Drosophila melanogaster: one gene and its partners. The protein of the gene in region 4 purifies or fractionates together with the protein of the main gene of each other region. This does not show direct contact. Each region holds a gene or a part of one and is shown on either strand. Other genes may lie near its edges. The genes, in order: Nemp, frm, ktub and RnrS.

Region 1 (4,052 bases), on a different chromosome or scaffold from region 4:
CCTGCTGAGTCGCTCCGATCGCGAGTACATCTACACGACCATAACGGACGAGTGGAACTACGGTCTGAATGGGCGGCAGATGTTCTCCTGGCGCGAGAAGAACTTCACCGATACCGCGGGCCTGACACGCGCCTTCGTCCAGGAGCAGCACTCCACGCCGCTCTTCACGCTGCGTAGCGAGCTCTTCAAGTGGTACTACTTCGTCGATCCCAGCCAGGGCAATCGCTTGGCCGCCCTGCGCTCCGGCAGTCCCAGCTCCTCGACCAGCACCTGGACCATCGCCTACGCGGGCGACGCACTCATCTTCCGGCAGCGCGAACTCACGCTCTGTGCTGCCGAAAAGTTCGACGACGATCGTCGTCTGGTGAAGATGCTGCCCGGCCAGATGCACACGCCGCCATCGGAGGCTTGCCAGTGGCTACCGATCGCCTGTGCTCCGCCAAAATGAGCGGGATGGCTGTACCCTGGAATGTTTGCAACAAATAAACTTATGCATTAGTGTATAAGTGTTTTTATTCCTAGCCAGTCATGAATAATTAAATATATAATTTGTATTAATATGTGTGTTTCCGTTCAGTCTGCAAGTGATTATACAAATATTAGAAAGGGTAACCAAACAAACAAATTTTACAGAACGGTACAGCATAGAACGTGGTGGTCAATGGTTTCAATTAAGCCTAATCAGTGGTTCCCCTTGTGGTTGAGCTGTTCGTCCGTTATTGTACTACTTGCCGAAGGTCCACCTCCTGCTCGAAGAACTCCTCCTCCTCGCTGTCATCGGACTCCGACTCCGGCTCCGGCTCCGAGTTGCGGGCGGCCTGTTGATAGCGGAACTGCGAGTTGGGCAGCGGCAGTAACTCCGCTGGTTTATCCTCCTCAGGTTCCTCCACTGATTCCTCCTCGGGCGCCGCATCCATGGACTCCTCGATGGTGCGCGAGTGGTCCTCGATCTCTTCGTCGTCCAGATGCGGTGCTCCATTGGCGAACGAGGCGAAGCGCAAAGGATCACGCAGTTTGCCCATCACCGCCCACTGCTTGCACTCCGGACTGTTGACGTACTTGCGCAGGTCCGCCAGCGATTTCGAGGTCTCCACGGCCGTCTGCTGTTCGTACTCCTCCTGGGTGAGCATGCGCCTCTTTAGCGGAAAACGGCGGCGATACATGAACTTGATCTGGTTCGTCCACGAAATGGGGAAGTAGTGGGCCACAAAGACCAGCACCATGATGAAGATCACGGCGCTGGTGTGCCAGCTGCTGAAGTAAGCCATAACGGCGCCAATGGCCTGCAGCACCCACATGACGATGGTTTGCGATCGAGGATTCTTGGGCGGACCAATGCGATAGCAGATCTGTAGAATAATCGAGGCAATTAGCTGGGGTTATCTAATCAAAAGGGAATATCAAGTGACTACGCACCAGGAACGAGATCAGTCCGGTGATCACCAGATAGCCCAGCACATGGTCGCGGTAGGTGATCAGAATCAAACGCAGATTGTCCGCCAGCTGTTTGATCACATAGAAGCCAATGGTCCAGCCGCCAATTAGGACGCCATACATCATGGTACGTCGCGGAAAGAGTTTGGCGGCCAAATAGATGACCACCAGCAGGGAGGCGCATATGCCGATGACAATGCCGACCAGATAGTAGAACACACTGTTCTTTGCTAGCCGCCGGGCGCTGAAGAGGATCAGTATGCCGACGGCGAACTGTGCGAGACGCCACAGATCCAGCGGAATGCTATTCAGAATGACGGTGTACGCCTGGCGGGAGGAAATCCCGATGCACTGCTGCTCGAAGGGCGAGAGCTGCAGCAGCTGGCGCTTCTGCGCGAACAGGGTGATGCTGAACAGCGATTGCTTGTCCTTGTAGTGCTGCAACACCTCCTCCGGCGTCTTCCCACCGTACTGGGAATAATCATCGCTCCCGATGGCCAGGACGAACTCCACAGTCTCGAAGAGACTTGACACCGTCAGCCGTTTACCCGGATAGCAGAACGTGCGCAGAGTCTGCAGTCCCAAGATGTTCTCCGACAAATTGATGTATGTGCCCGGCGTCAGGTAGGCGACGTCCGAGGAAGCCGTATTGCCAGGAATACCCGATGTGAAATATCCAGCCACGGTTAGCATCAGTAGTCCAGCCGAATGCATTATGAACGGTTGCAATGGCGTTAATCTTATCAATCAGTGCGCTTTCAGTCTGTTGCTCTCGCAGGACGTTCGCTTGTTAAATGCTGACTTGCTTATGCTTGATGTTTTGATGTTTACTTTACTTTAAGGAATCGAATGAAAAAGCAACGCCGCTTTGGTTTATGTCCTCACTCACGACGGGACGGGCAGTATATCGTAACGTAAGAAAAATGTATCGATAGGTGTGTGTGTGACTACACTGTTGTGATTTCAAATTTGTGACTAACCATTTAATTGTGGATTATTTATTTCCTTTGGAATACTTTGCAGAACACCCCATTTAAACATGTTTGCTAATATTATTACAAATATCTTATCTTATTCATAACAATAAATGAATATATAACGTTCTTGCCAAGTTCCCAACCTGCAATATTACTTCTAGTAAAGTTCCACACCGCCGAGCTAAGCTCTTGCTGTGGCATTTTTTAGCACATAATGCACGAAGATTCCGATTCAACCAAGGCGGTGAATTCAGTTGTTCGACTTTGATTTTCCAGACGTTAATTGGAGCCAATTTGCAAGCAAACACAGTTAAATGCTCAAACTAAACATATCCGAGCAGTGCGAAGTTAACCAGCTCTAAAAGCGGTGTCGCAAAGTAAACAAATCAAGTTGTCAATCGAATTAAAGTCGAAACCAAAACGTGTTCACAACTACAAGTGCAGCAAAGAGAGAGCTTCGCTTGAAAGTACACGGAATCGTAAGTGAGCTGTAGTTGTAACGGGTGCAGATGGGAAAAGGATAACTTGATGGCGATACTAATGCATCGTAGCTTAAGGATTCTCAGTTGGTTAATCCTCAATTCCTGCCCAAAGTCCAATTCAAAGTTAAAGTCAATGTTATTGTTATTCTCATTTGCTGACCGAACCGGTTTCCAATTGGATCCAAACTTCTCACACGTGCTTACGCACACACAAAACGCACCCTCTCACACTCGCTCTTCCTCTTTCTTCTCCGCCGCTAGTCATCGTGTAAACAAACCGTGAATGGCAATATCAAATGACAACAGGAACTTGAAACGCTTGATAAGCAGTGTCCATTCCCAATCAGAACCGTGTTGTGCCCCGCTCAACATGTTGCCAGACAGTTAAATACATGCATACATTCATCTATCGCGGCTTCCTATTGGATTCTTTGTATATTTTCTTGGGCCGGCAAACTGTGTGCGTGTGACGGTGTGTTTATAAACACATGTGTTTTTTGAACAAGATAACCTGTGGAATTATATTACATTACATTTAAAATCGAGGGTATGCACGCGCTCTGCGTAAACATATAGCATAGTCATAGCATATACTCATTAAGTAAAGTTCCCAGAGTCGCCGAATATTGTTATCAGATTTTCGACTCAATATTGTGTCTACTTGCCTTCGTAGAGATATGATCTTTTAATTAATTAACTTTGCTCGTTTATTTAAGACGGTTTTCGAGTGACAGGTACTAAAGAATACCCTATGGTTTCCAATCCTCCCCAGCAACTCGTCCAATATGGCCTCTACGGACTGTTACCTCGCACTGGAGGATGGCACAGTGTTGCCCGGGTACTCCTTTGGCTACGTTCCCTCGGAGAATGAATCCAAAGTGGGTTTTGGTGGCGAGGTGGTCTTCCAAACGGGCATGGTTGGCTACACGGAGGCGCTCACGGATCGATCGTACAGTGGTCAGATCCTGGTGCTTACCTATCCACTGATCGGTAACTATGGGGTACCAGCGCCGGATGAGGACGAGCACGGACTGCCGCTGCACTTCGAGTGGATGAAAGGCGTCGTCCAGGCCACCGCCTTGGTGGTGGGCGAGGTGGCTGAAGAGGCATTTCACTGGCGCAAATGGAAGACGCTGCCCGATTGGCTGAAGCAGCACAA
Region 2 (4,807 bases), on a different chromosome or scaffold from region 4:
AAAAAATTAAAGCAAAAAAATTTAATAATGATTTGAGAATTTTGAAGGCTTAGCAGGATAAAGATATAGTAACCGCTTACTAAGCGATGTCAAGGTCATCACTCGTGGCAGGTAATGTAAATGGAATGTCGAGAATGCATTTAAGTATTTGACTGTTCACGTTGTTTTTTAGTGAGTCGATTGAATTAAGTTTTATTATGCATCCTTGCTTAATATTGCCGTTGGCGAATTGTTTAAAATGTATATTTTTTAATCTTTTACTAAGCCCACGTAGACATATTTTACAAAACGAACCCCAGCTGCGTTGGATGGTTGCATGCTGAGCCAATTTTGGATTCGATTGGGTTGCCCTTTTCTTAAGTAGGGTATCTTAGGGTATCTTAAAGGTTTAATAAAAAGTCTTAAGCAATATAAATTGTATAAAAAAATAAAAGATATTTATATTTATATATTTATTTATATATTCCAATTTTAGCTAATTATTTATATTTAAATTAATGTCCATTATTTTAGTTGTGATTAAAGGGTATTTAGCTTTTGCTTTCTCCACATCGCTTGCTTCCCTTACTCATTTCTGTTTTTATAGTCGAAAATACTCATACATTGTATTCATTCGGTGGGCTTTGTCCTTGACTTAAGCATTGTCATTAACTTCATCCTGTTTAATGTCCAAGAGTGAAGAAGCTGATTATTTTCTGTGTCAATTGCTGCATTCAAGAGCAAGCAATGTTTTCGTATTAAGCTGAAATTGTTTCCCCTTTTCTGGCAGTCGGTCCGGTTAATCCGCAAAATGTGCTTTAAATGTCAGCAACTCTTTAAGAAATGAATGCAAAATAAAAAAAAAGAATTGAGAAACATTCTAGCTAAGCGGATCATCAAACGGAAGTGTTTCGCAACTAAATGAAAAGGTGTCTGAATTATGGCAAATCGATTGGTAATCCTATCTGACATTGGGTTCGTGAGCTCATAGATTAATTGCTTAGCTACTGTGTGAGTTCATATCAGGATTTAGAAACATCTAAATTCTGGCTCATTTGTGATCAATAGCTGCAGAGGTATTTTAATTATGCCCCTTGCATACACAGGAAGAAAATTAGTATATGCGGAAATCGTGCGTCAAGCATAATAAATCCAAGCTCCCCTGGTTTTTTGCAAAGCTTTAATTAAATCAATAAACCATCTAAATAATTTTTTAGCAAAATATATAAACCCTCAACGACGGGAGCCAGAAAAAGACGACAATCTATCTATATCTGCGTATATCTGAAATATCACTCTTCGATTAACGATAAAATTAAATCAAAATAAACACGAAAAACTCGAATTTTCAATTAAAGACAAAAAACGTTCTTTGAACAAACAAACACGCGAGACAATAAAACATAAAAGAGAATAAATAAGATGAGGAAAAAAATCAATCTCTAAATATTAATGAACCCCAAGAACCTGAAAGTGAACTTAAATTCTTGAGACACGCAAGCAGATCCTAGAGAATTCCGAGCGAGAGAGTTCGAATCGCCGAGGAGAGTGATCAATATATCAAGTATACGACCCGTGGCTTAGTTCGAGCTCATCTCTCCGGCGCTTGGCCAAATAAATTAACGAATCCGGCGAAAAAAGCAAACTCGTTCCACTCACACTCAGACACACACACACACACACTCACGCACTTTAAGCCAGGTATCTGTATGGGTTAGGAGCTGCTCTCAAGTACGATTTTTAGTCTTTTTTTTGTGTCGAGTGTGTTTTTTCGCCTTTTTGTTTTGCGTCTGCCTCTGTTTATATGGCTAAGACTCGATGCGTTCATCTTCAGTTCGTCCACATCGGTCACCACGGTATGAGCTCTAGTTTAGGCTCCTAAAAGTAAATACTAAAACACTACCCAATCACTTGTGATCGATCAATGGCTATAGCAGCCGCAAGAGAACTGTACTAATTGCAAGGATAAACAAGACGGAATATTTGCAAATATTTCCAACCTTATAGTGCGAAACTGTGTGCCTGCCTGCGATTCAATATAAAACTAAAATAAGCATTTTCTTCTTTTCAAGATTGGAAAAGGGATAACTGAGTTTATTCCATTGTAAAATTCAAAACACCTAAATATTTACTGGCGTTTCTTGTGTCAAAAAAAAAACATAAAATTCGTTGCAAAATGGCGCGTGCAGCTCTGTGCATGGTAAGTTAAATGAATACTCAAGAAAAAAAACAATTACTTTTAATTATTCGATTTTGAAAAACGTACATATTGTTTAACGTCCAATTGCCAAACGAAAAACGATTGTTGTTTCTTAAATTTGGGTGTATAAACAAATTTATGTCTTCAGATGACCTTCGATTTGATTGTTATTTCAACTGATATTTTGTAAAGACATTTAGCAGTTGGCTAAAAATATTGTCAAACATTAAATGGTAATAAAAACGTCTGCTAAGTGTGTTTGATCACATTCGAATATCGAATAGAGTGCATGGCAACCAAATTTCAAACGCTTACGAGCTACAAACTGCATATAGAATATTTGTACAACTCATAACTGATATTTAAGGCGGAATTCCGCATTTAACGAGCGTTAACAAGTCCGGGTCAAATTATAACTATTTCGGAAACCCATTTTTCTGTACAATTTATTTACACTAGCACGGGCGCGAAGGCGAATTTGTTGGAGAAACGTGCGGTAATAATACTAATAATAATAATAGTAATAGCCAACCGGCATTTTTCTGGGCAAACAAATACGAATACCGGCAATTTCGAAACGATGCGATGCAAACGCAGGCACTTCTGTTTGCTTTGGCACACAACACAACGCAGAAGCAAAAGTAATGCCCAGTTTTTATTTGACTTGAATTTTTTTGTGCTGTTTGGAATCGAATCGATACTCGGTACAATTTTGTTGTTTTTAGCCAGGGTTAGAAGATTAGTCAACGGACAAAAATGCGCCAGTAGGGAAGTACGTTGTTTACCGAAAATAACAAATGTCTGGGTATTAAACAAAGAGATTCAGAAAGAAGGAGAGAGCTGTTTTTGTCATTGTCTGCATTATGCAAATTTCCATTCATTTTTTATCATTTGCTGTTTTTTTTGTTACCTAACGGAGCTACATATTAAATGTGCAAAAGTTGAGGCTAAATAAAATCGTGAGTCAAGGACCCGCTTCATTAGGAAATACTATCGCAAAAGAGTGTTAATTTGATTATGGCCAAAAAATTCTTAGATAATGCCTATCCAAAGCTGTTAATTGTTTTTGCTTGTGACTGCTACTCATTTTTTTTTTGTTTGTACCTGCGATTTTATGAGCACCGAAATTCCCCAAAAGAGGTGTCATAATGATGCTCTAAGTGAGCCGAGATACTATCTCCATTCGGCGTAGAAAAAATGGATTCAGTCTGTGGCCCTTGTCACCTGCCAAAGTGACCCCATCCACGATGGTTATTTGGGGTTAAGCTTTGCGGGCGCTTCGGTATTTATTACCATTGCCTGCGGCATAAGCCTCTGTTTTGGGCCAAGATATTCTGCCAGACACGTACTCGGCCAACAAACAAAAACGGGTAAAAAAAAAAAAATAACAAACCAAGTCGGGGGAGAAAATGCCCAGCGGCACCACGTTGACAGGGCAGGGCATCGCATCTCATCTTGGCCCACAATTCTTTTTATTATAAATTTGTTCTCAGCTCGGCTTGTGCGGAATTTTAAAGAGTCCGCGGAATTTTCTTTGCCGCCATTTGGTGTAGTGCAATTTGAAGAGATTTAATCGCCCAGTAGTAGTTGCCTTACTGAGTTGAGTCATAAAATGGAGTAGCCAAAGTCGAGTTTGGCATGACAAACAGTTGGCTGCTGGCAAATGGGGCAATTGAAATAAATTACATTTATTTGGTTGTAAAATGGAGCGTTAGGCATGTCCGATGAATAGTTAAATCTTTACAGTTACAAGAGCCAAAAGGGTTATTATTTAAATTAAAGTGCGAATGAAGGGCAGAGCACTTCTGCTTTGCCAGGAAACAACGATACAAAAACCAGTTAATGAACTTTTATTCAGGCTGGGCCAACTTCCAGCTAGAACAACATTACGTAAGAGTTCATGGAACTTCATCGTCTCCCATTCACTTTTATGGCTCATCGGTTCTTACTATTTCTCCTACTCGCCAGTTAACTTTCGATATTTAAAGGCCCAAAAGGTCGGCTTTTATGCCGCACTAATTTATGTCGCTTCTCTGTTGCCATATGTTTGTGGCCAATTTCAATATGGAATCTGTATCTAAAATACGAATCTAGAAATGCAAATTAGCCCTCGATCGCTAGTCGGCGATTAGGAGAGACAATCGCCAAAGGCGGCAGCTATGGAGATATAAGATATATAGTTTTGGTGCCGATGATGGAGGAAGTCTTTGGGGCTGGTTTTAAGTAAAAACGAAAACGCTATACAAAGTGTATTCATTAAGCTGCAGCCAAATGCCAAGAGTTGAAAGTAAAAGTTTTTAAAAATAATATGATGTCATTCGGGATGCTCAACCGTGCCAGGCCCAACGGTTTATTTTTTAATTGCTTTAATAAATCAGAACAAGTCCAGTGGAAGTTCAGTGACAGTCGACTATACATTCGTTGGACAAATTCCCAGCTATTGTCTCGCATCAAACTGGCTAATTCGTTTGCCTATCGATGGGTTCTGATCTCATTAGCACTTTTCTGCTCTGCAAAGAATTCTAGATGCGTCGCTAATTAAATTCAAGTCTGGATTAACTGGAAAATCCAAACCTAAAGGCCATCGCCCACAGCTGGTTATACTTGTTCCGCCGAATATTTTCGGTT
Region 3 (4,704 bases), 9.1 Mb from region 4:
TATTATTTTGATTCTACAAGTGCCGGGTAATTTGAGACAGAAGTCAAATAATAATACAGCTCTTACCGAAACAATCAATCAGTTCATAATGACAGCTCCAAATGCACATTTAATAAGGTATCGTATTCTTATTAAATATTAAATCTCGACTTTGGCTGTCAGACGAAAAGTTTGGTAAATTCGATTTCGTTTTAGCCGGCTTTTCCTCTCGTTGGGTCAAGAACCTCGTATTTGAAGCAACAGAACGAAAATTACAGGCTCGAAACAAAGGGCAAAAGCCGTAAAGCTAAGTGAAGTTAGGCTAATATACATATTAGGGTGGACCTTTTTCTTAATGCTAAAAACAGCAGTTGGAAGTACACCGAATAAACTTTGTTCATTTGATCAAAAGAAAGTTATATATGGTCAGTTAGATGGCGGGTCTCTTTTCTGCTTGAGCTCTACTCTAGTCAAATCATATTTTTTAATCACTTCTCAAGCTTTAAAGGTTCACCCTAATCTACGCAAGTAACTTATTAGAAAAAGTCGGTGCGTCACATCCTTTTTTTTTGGCCGAAATGTTTCTTTTTACGACTTGCGTGAGGAAAAGCTTGAGCGATTTGCGGAAAGCAAATATTATATTCATATGTGGAAGTAGTGAACAATTGTGTGACTTATTGCTGGGCATTATCCTGCGGCTCAGTTCCTCGCGAAGCTGAAGGACTCGTCACCAGGCGGGAATCGATTTTGTGGCCTCGCTTAATGGTATTCCATGGGTGATGGCAATACGAAAACAATGCCAACGAATGGTATTGTGTATATTTCTAGTTGCGCTGTCTGTCTGTGTTCCTATGGGGATACTATAGAATCCTGTCTGCCTGGACATATCTGTGTGTGTGTGTGTGTGGGTAGTTGCCCATAGTGACGCAGGACACCAATCAAAGAAAGGATACTACATTGTGGGTTAGCTGGCGTCCAGGCCGAAGACTTTATTAATCCTTTGTGTATATTTAGCGACCACTTTATGAGTTGACTGCCATATATCTTTCTGTTGATTTATGCCAAGTGCAAATTGACTCCGTTTTTTTGTGCCACATTCTCTTTTTTATGGCGGATATAACTTTGTGTTGGCTTAAGCTCGAGAAAATGACCCAAAACGATTGTTCGGAAGGATTAATGTTCTATGCTAACACGTTCAAAGAAAATTAGCTTGACTCAGCAAGTGAATATTTATCATATTTATACTCGCATTTGAAAATGAATGTGATAAAGCAAACATTATTCAAACAAGCTGCTTTAAAATGGTAATCACGAAATGTGTTAATTCATGGGAATTTGTGAGATGATTCAATGTGAATTTATAATTAAAATTAAAATTCAATCAAAATGAAATGCGCTCCCATGGCTTCCACTTATTTTCGATTTCTTTCAAGCTATTTCATTTGTAGCTGAAATGACTTGGCATAATGTTTTCAAAATGTCCTCCCATTCGAAGAAGCTGTCAATAGCTGCTCAATGTTTTATAAGCCATAGCGGCACGAAATCGAAGTAACTCGAAGGACCCAGGACCTCCCACACTTGGCAGCCCAACTCAACCACATCGAAGTGATTCGATTTATGAGCCAGTGGGTGGAGTAGGGTGCCTTTTGGTTCCGTGCCACTCAACATAATTAGGGCCAATGACAATCGAATCGGACTGCAGCAACTGCACCACCACCAGGAGCTTCGTTTCGATTTATTTGGACGCCGTTGCCAGGACAACGGACGAACACCTGGCCACGAGCAAACGGGCACAACAAAACCACTTGGAGAAGGCGTTAAGCCACTTGGGTGTTTCATTTTCCTTTTTTTTTTGTTGCCTTTAAGGGGTGGCACATTTAGAGCGGTCAACTTTGAGGCCAAAAAGTGAACAATTCCGTGTAATGCCGGCTGATGGCCCCTTTTCTGCTGGCGCTGATTGCTATGGGCTGCCCGAGTTTTCCAAGAAAGGAGTGGATTTTCTTGTTTCTAGACCACATTCACGAACCGTCGGGCTGGAAGAGTTAAAAGGCCAGTGCTAACTTGCCTTGATTCATGGTCAATTGAAAAAAAGTTCTTAAAGAATTCTTAGCTAAAGCAAAAGTTTAATACAAGTAGCCATTAAATTGTTCATAAATTTCGCTGTCGTATGTATAGATTGGTTTTGTTATAATATAGGATCGTTGGTTTAATGTGTCCACTTTATGAAGATTATCAAACACAATGGATATGAATGACACATTTAAAGAAATTCAAATTTCAGAGATTACATTATCAAAGATTATAGGTTTGGTAAAATCTAGAAAAGATCTGCCAAATTGGAGTGTTGGGTTTACCTGCTGTTCCATTTTCTGATTACGACTGTTGATTCCGGACATTTTTGCAGTTATGGCTGTAGATTTCAGAAGGCAATCAAAATCCTCTGACGATTTTCACTTAACTACGCGCGATTCAGATGATCCGATGAAGAGGCATTTGGCAAATATTCGGGAGTGACAGCTGTTTTGGGATTTGCGTTGAAGAGCGACTTTTCGAATGCGAATGAATGCAGCAAAACAAAAACCGATGGGGCACCAAAATAATTGAAGAAGAATCTATGAATTTAGCACACCTGGCGTCAGTTTGTATGGTATGGTATATATTTTGTAGTTTGTGGTAGTGTAGTACGGCAGCACACGCGACAACAAAAAAATCAAGGGGTGTTCACGAGGGTGAGGATTTGTAGACTGAAGCCAACAGCCGGCTCTTCCTGTTCTCGCTCAATTTTTTTTGTACCGACGCGATCGATCGGAATTCTCCGGATCGCTGGCACTGAATGTTTGCTTTAGCCACTGAGCGAGTACCGCCTGAATATGCATATATTTATAATGTTATACAATCTATGTTGTTTGACAAACACTTTCGTGCCCGTTGAGTTGCGTGTGATATTGTCCAATTGATTGAATTTGGCGCCTCTTTATTTTGGTAGAGGAGAGAAGGCGATGTAACCCGTCGACCGAACCGCACGCTGCCAAAACAACAACTGGGCGTCCAACAGAAGCCGTCAACTCAGGCGAAGTGCTCGTAGCGGAACGGAATGGAAACGGAACATGCACACGAATGCCAGCCGAAGCAGGAGTGCGAAGCATGCCATCCTGTCGTGTGTCAGCGAAAGAGAGGCAGAGAGAACCACAACTCGCTCTCAATGGGAATGGGTCTCTCCCTCTCTCCCTCTCTCTCTCTCTCTCCGCACAACGCCTCCTGTGGCTGCTTCCTCTTCCATTTCCTACGAGCGACAGATGTGCAGCTGCCGACTGCGACTGCATTTGGATTCGCGCCCCCGACTCCCTGTTACTGGGATTTTGGGATGCATTCCCGTACAAAGCATACGCATCTGGCAATTCGATTCCGGATTGAGCAAAAAACCACGCTGATAACAGGATAATAGAGTGTTGAAAAATTATACAACTTTATGATTATGATCCTTAAGCGGAATTTACAACAATTAAAAACATCAATTTGCGTTGTCAACTCGCGCGCTTTATTTCATTAACATTAGACTTATGCTACGATGATGGTGAGTAAAATTAAATAACAAATAAATGAATATAGAGTTTCGCGTTACGGTAAATTCGATTGAAATTGCCTTGTCATTTTTGAGGTTTCTTACACGTTAACTTTGTCGGTTTTTTTTTTGTTTGGAGGCGGAAGATCCCAGGGATTCTAGAAAAACCTGTGCTTTTTCTTCTTCTTGTTCTCCCCCTCCGCCGGCGGCTGGGGATCCACGGAAACCTGACGCCTGGGCAGCAGAGGTGGCGGAGTAACATCCCCAGCTCCAACAGCATCGGCTCCAACTCCATTAGCATCCACTCCATTGGACGCCGGCGATAGAGGACGCGGTGCGCGCAGGATCGAGGTGAGTGGTGGCACCGGGGAGTGGCCATTGCCATTCGCCTCCTGGCCATCCTCCTCGATCCTGTCCAGTCGCGAACCGTGCACCGAGGCAAGCTCGGAGGGAGTCTTCACCTGGGAGCCGCCCTCATCACCAAGCTCGCTGGTCATGTTCATGCCAATGGTGGCGCCCACTTTGGCGCTGGCCATTTTGAAGTGATCGCTCAGCTTGATCTGCACCACATTGATGAACATGGAGGTCAGGGCCAAGCCGAACATCAGATAGATCATGCTGACCATTACGTAGAAGGGATTACTGGGCACCAGGTCGCCGAACCCAATTGTGGACATCGAGATGAACACGTAGTAGAAGGCATCCAGTGGAGTCCAGCTGGGCTCCATCATTAGAAAGCCGAAGGATCCTAGGAGGATGTACGTAATGAGCAGCAGCGAGGCCACCGACACTGGCAAATTGAACTCGTCGTCCACCTCGAAGGTCTCTGGATAGGGTGATGTGGGTGTCTCCGGGTGCGAGGTGCCCACCGATCTTGCGGCCTCGGCATCCGCCTGCGACTCCTCATCGTTCTCTGGCGCAGAGTTGCTGAAGAACATGCTCGGCCTGCGGATGGCCATGTCGTACATCGTATTGAAGCCTGTCATGGCGCTCCGGATCTGCTGCTGCTTTCGTATCCGGCGGCAGGAGCGCGTGTAGTACATCCGTCGCACATACACCCACAGGAACTTGACGCAGCGCGTGAATAACTTGCCCAGATCGGCCAGCACGATCAGGAACATGGGGATGCCGATGATGGCATAGACGATGGTCAGGGATCGACC
Region 4 (4,367 bases):
ACGTATGGGGCACAGATATGGGCAAAGCGCATTGGTCTACTGAATTACTACCATGACCTGCGCCGGACGAAGCAGAAATAGTACAGGAGGCTTGGGGATTCGCCAAGTGAACGGACGGGGAGCTGAGGCAATAGAGCGGTAGCGAGTAGCACTACGCTGTGTCAATAAGAGTGACATCGTTCTGCCTTAGAAGTTCATTGAAATCAGTTAAGTTGAATAAATCGTTGACATCCTGTACTCATGTGGTTTCCCGGCTCTTTTTTGGAACTTGTGTTTGATCCTTCTGATTTCTTCGAATACGAAAAGCTACTTCGTGCCTGCGCTGCTGAATCTTCTCCCTAAGTTCCTCAAGGGATTCTCGTTCTGGAGCGTATGATATGTGCAAGATTCCACCATAGAACTGATGAGCATCGAGCATTTTCTTGGCTCTTCTCGCCACCTCAAGGCGCTCGAACTTCACGGCAAACACATCTGTAAAAGCTTCCAGATCCACTGAAACAAAAGGAACACTATATAAAAAAGATCTTGAACAGGGATAATCATACTTTTTGAAGCCATCTCTGAAGTTACCGAAATACATGATTGCACTTTACCAAATCCTTGTAGTTTCGTCCTGAGATTAGCTTGAAGATTTATTTTAGGTACCCCAAAGATCAGCAAATGACGGGACTCACTAGCAACTGTATAAACCTACAAAGGATAAAAAACACAATAAAAGTACAATAAAACATTGCTATTACTATAAAGCTATTACTAAACTATTACTACTAAACATTACTATTTCCCCACCTTGACAGCTTTCAATTCGCGGCCCTGACGGTATTTCAATCTTGTAGTGCAGTATTCCAGACGTTTGTGGTGTTCAGAAGAAGAGGCTTCCATATTCAGGATATTAAAAACAAAACTACAACTAAACGGATTTGTTTATTATTATTTTCAAGTCCACGATTAAACGTACTTATCGATAAATATCAACAGCCAGCTGTTATGTTATTGTACTGTTATTTACATGATTCGCTGTAATGGAATTCATTCAAAGTTGTTGAATTGAGTATGTTAGCACCTGTTGCATTTCCAAATAATTCGAGATTTCCAAAAAAAAAATTAATTTTAAGTCAATGTCCTTGGAAAAAAATTTTAACTTTGTTTCACCTTGATTTTTTATCTAATTGTAGCAAGAGGACCAAATTTTTTCACTCAAAACTAATTAAGTGGCGTTTCATCAGCTGTTTTCTGGATTAGTCTAGGGTTGTCTCATTGCATGAAATATCGATGATAAAAAAATTTCAAAATTTATTTAGTATTTGAAACTATTAATATTAATATTTTTCAAGTGACAAGCTGGGAAGCTAAACATAAAATTGTGCAGTAAGGATTCGATTTATGGTTTAAGAAAAGAAAACTACCACCCCATAATTGCATTAGATTTACCCTAAATTTATAAAAAGTGAATTGACGCACTCGACAGCCCTGATTTTCCCATAGTTTTCCCATCACCAAAAATGGCGGCAAATCGAAACAGTTTGCCGCCCGGCATAAAACCCAATGTAGCTGTATTTCCCAGATCATTTGCCACACAACTTTCAAACTGTACACTTAATACACGTCGTGGTTTAAGTGAATTTTACCAGAGAATCAGAGAAGCGCCCCTACCTGCTAATAATAATCCATTCAAAAACATCTCAAATGGCGTCCAAGGAAAACATTGCTGACAACATGGAGAAGTTCTCGCTTAAGGTAATCGACACGCAAATAAAGTTCACAGCTATACATAGACGTAATACCGCGATCAGTGCGCTTGTGTTGATTTCCCTAGGGAAAAGTGCTACGCAGCGGAAAAATACTCATGCTTTAGTTGGCCTTCTTTGTTTTTCGTTGTTAACAGAGCCCGAGCAAGAAGATTCTGACGGATAGCACCAACAACGTTCGCAAGATGTCCATTGGACACGAGGCAAACGGACAGTTGGCCAAGGAGTCCTCCACCGTGAATGGCATCGGCAAGTCTGCCAATTCCCTCATGGAGAAGTCCGTAACCCCCTTCGACCCGTCGCTGGAGCCCCTTCTGCGCGAGAATCCCCGACGCTTCGTCATCTTTCCCATCCAGTACCACGACATCTGGCAGATGTACAAGAAGGTGTGTATACCATACATATAGCAAAACACTGTCCATTTGCATTGGTGGTGAAAATCTATTTTTTGGGCGGCAAAATATCAAAAGGGCGGGCATTTCGAGATAAAGCGCGCCAAAAGCCGGTCACGTACTCAACGTGGTTGATTACACGAATCAGACTTTATGATAGCTTCGTTTGGTTAAACAACCCCCTCCCACATTTCTCGACCCTCCCTTTCCGCTGATTCACTGCATCACGGTTTACTCAATGTCAACAATAGCCTTCGTTTTTGGCGGGAAATGCAGCACATAACGATCACATACTATACCATTTTATGTAGCCAATTACATTTCCCCGCCGCTTTTAATTGCTTTGTAGTAACTTTGTTTACATTTTAATTGCATTTTAATTGATAAGCTCGTTGTGCACGATGACATTTCTTGAAAACTTGTTAAAGTGGAAAATGAAAAATAATAAATTTATACAGTAATTATCTCTTTTAAAATTGTAACTTTTTTTTTTAATGTGCAGGCTGAGGCTTCTTTCTGGACTGTCGAGGAGGTGGATTTGTCCAAGGACCTTACTGATTGGCACCGCCTGAAGGACGACGAGCGCCATTTCATCTCGCACGTGCTTGCCTTCTTCGCCGCCTCCGACGGCATCGTAAACGAGAACCTGGTGGAGCGCTTCAGTCAGGAGGTGCAGATCACGGAGGCACGTTGCTTCTACGGCTTTCAGATCGCCATGGAGAACGTGCACTCGGAGATGTACAGTGTTTTGATCGACACTTACATCCGTGATCCACACCAGCGAGAGTACCTGTTTAACGCTATCGAAACGATGCCGGCTGTGAAGCGCAAGGCAGACTGGGCCCTGTCCTGGATCTCCTCCAAATCGGCCAACTTCGGGGAACGCATCATCGCCTTTGCCGCCGTGGAGGGCATCTTCTTCAGCGGCAGCTTCGCTTCCATTTTCTGGCTTAAGAAGCGAGGTCTGATGCCTGGATTGACCTTCTCCAACGAGCTTATCTCTCGCGACGAGGGCTTGCACTGCGACTTTGCCGTGCTGATGTTCCAACACCTGGTGCAGCGACCCAAGCGCGAGCGCATCATCGAGATCATCCGCGACGCGGTGGCCATTGAGCAGGAGTTCCTTACCGATGCCCTGCCCGTCAATTTGATTGGCATGAATTGCGACCTGATGTCCCAGTACATTGAGTTCGTAGCGGACCGTTTGCTCGTGGAGTTGGGCGTTGGAAAGATCTACAACACCAAAAACCCCTTTAACTTCATGGAGATGATATCGCTGGATGGAAAGACCAACTTTTTTGAGAAGAAGGTGGGGGAGTACCAGCGCATGGGAGTGGTCAGCAACCCCCTGGACAACGTGTTCACCCTGGACGCGGATTTCTAGGGCTGGCCCCGGACATCATTGTTGCAATTTAAACCTCTCAAGGGCTGGCTTCTCATCCTTTATATTTTAATCTGACGGCAATTATATGTAGTCCGTTTTAATTTTAACATAGGCTAAGAACAATCACAGACCTTCAACACATTCACCTAATCATTTACTTGGACCTCCAATTACGTTTATAATACTATCTACACACTTGACTTTTACGAGGAGCGTACCTTTTCCGAATTCATTGTACATACAACATTTTAAATAAATTTATACATAGACAATTATTAAGCACTACAAGTAAAATTGAGTTTTAATTATTCTGAAAAAAATCTTCAAAAATTACTGTTTATGCACGATTATATAATAAGAAAATCAATTTCAAAAAAATTTATAAAAAGGATTGGGAAAATTTAAGAATTTAAATAATTCGAATTTCAAATTTTCGATTTCAGTTATATATATGGTAGGTAAACTTATCGATAGTCACGGGCATTTTTACTATCAGCTGTGCTGAACAATCCCATTCGCTGTTTTTATCAATTTGGATAAAATTCTTGTTATTCAGTTATTACCATAAAAAGTATTAGATGTCAATAACAGGAGTGGGCGATTAAATCAACCCAATTCAGCTAGGCGCCCTAATAGTTGATAAAATGCGAACAGTGCATTAAATTGTAGGCGGAGGACCAGTGGCGATAAGTGAATCCAGTCACATGGACAGAAGGTGGAATCCAGAAAAAATCGAGGAGCAGAGCTCCCTCTTGGCAGCGGAATATTCCTCCAGCTCGGGAGCAGCTGCTTCCGGATCCGAGGACGAGACGGTCACCACTAGTGGAGCGCTACGCAGCAAAG

The links.
Region 1: the proteins of RnrS (region 4) and Nemp purify together in Drosophila melanogaster (affinity purification with mass spectrometry, with the first as the bait; one large-scale study listed by BioGRID). This does not show direct contact.
Region 2: the proteins of RnrS (region 4) and frm purify together in Drosophila melanogaster (affinity purification with mass spectrometry, with the first as the bait; one large-scale study listed by BioGRID). This does not show direct contact.
Region 3: the proteins of RnrS (region 4) and ktub purify together in Drosophila melanogaster (affinity purification with mass spectrometry, with the first as the bait; one large-scale study listed by BioGRID). This does not show direct contact.

Annotation. Positions count from the first base shown.
Region 1 is NC_004354.4:16,652,720-16,656,771, forward strand, and holds Nemp (nuclear envelope integral membrane protein), read right to left. Parts: upstream 2,297-4,052; 5' UTR 2,149-2,296; coding exon 1,417-2,148; intron 1,350-1,416; coding exon 717-1,349; 3' UTR 501-716; downstream 1-500. Other genes in the region: CG32573 (uncharacterized protein), read left to right, coding at 1-448; r (rudimentary), read left to right, coding at 3,679-4,052. UniProt on the Drosophila melanogaster protein: Contributes to nuclear envelope stiffness in germ cells. Required for male and female fertility.
Region 2 is NT_037436.4:5,548,156-5,552,962, reverse strand, and holds the start of frm (farmer), read left to right. Parts: upstream 1-1,803; 5' UTR 1,804-2,155; coding exon 2,156-2,179; intron 2,180-4,807.
Region 3 is NT_033778.4:21,100,247-21,104,950, reverse strand, and holds the start of ktub (king tubby), read right to left. Parts: upstream 3,024-4,704; 5' UTR 2,376-3,023; coding exon 2,334-2,375; intron 1-2,333. Other genes in the region: CG34396 (uncharacterized protein), read right to left, coding at 3,700-4,704. UniProt on the Drosophila melanogaster protein: Functions in regulating protein trafficking, retinal maintenance and lipid storage. Protects photoreceptor cells R1 to R6 against light-induced retinal degeneration by stimulating norpA-mediated endocytosis of the rhodopsin ninaE (Rh1).
Region 4 is NT_033778.4:11,982,586-11,986,952, reverse strand, and holds RnrS (ribonucleoside diphosphate reductase small subunit), read left to right. Parts: upstream 1-1,559; 5' UTR 1,560-1,686; coding exon 1,687-1,737; intron 1,738-1,885; coding exon 1,886-2,134; intron 2,135-2,642; coding exon 2,643-3,524; 3' UTR 3,525-3,808; downstream 3,809-4,367. Other genes in the region: rho-7 (rhomboid-7), read left to right, coding at 1-81; CG34231 (uncharacterized protein), read right to left, coding at 239-492, 546-690, 790-882; GalT1 (beta1,3-galactosyltransferase 1), read left to right, coding at 4,229-4,367. UniProt on the Drosophila melanogaster protein: Provides the precursors necessary for DNA synthesis. Catalyzes the biosynthesis of deoxyribonucleotides from the corresponding ribonucleotides.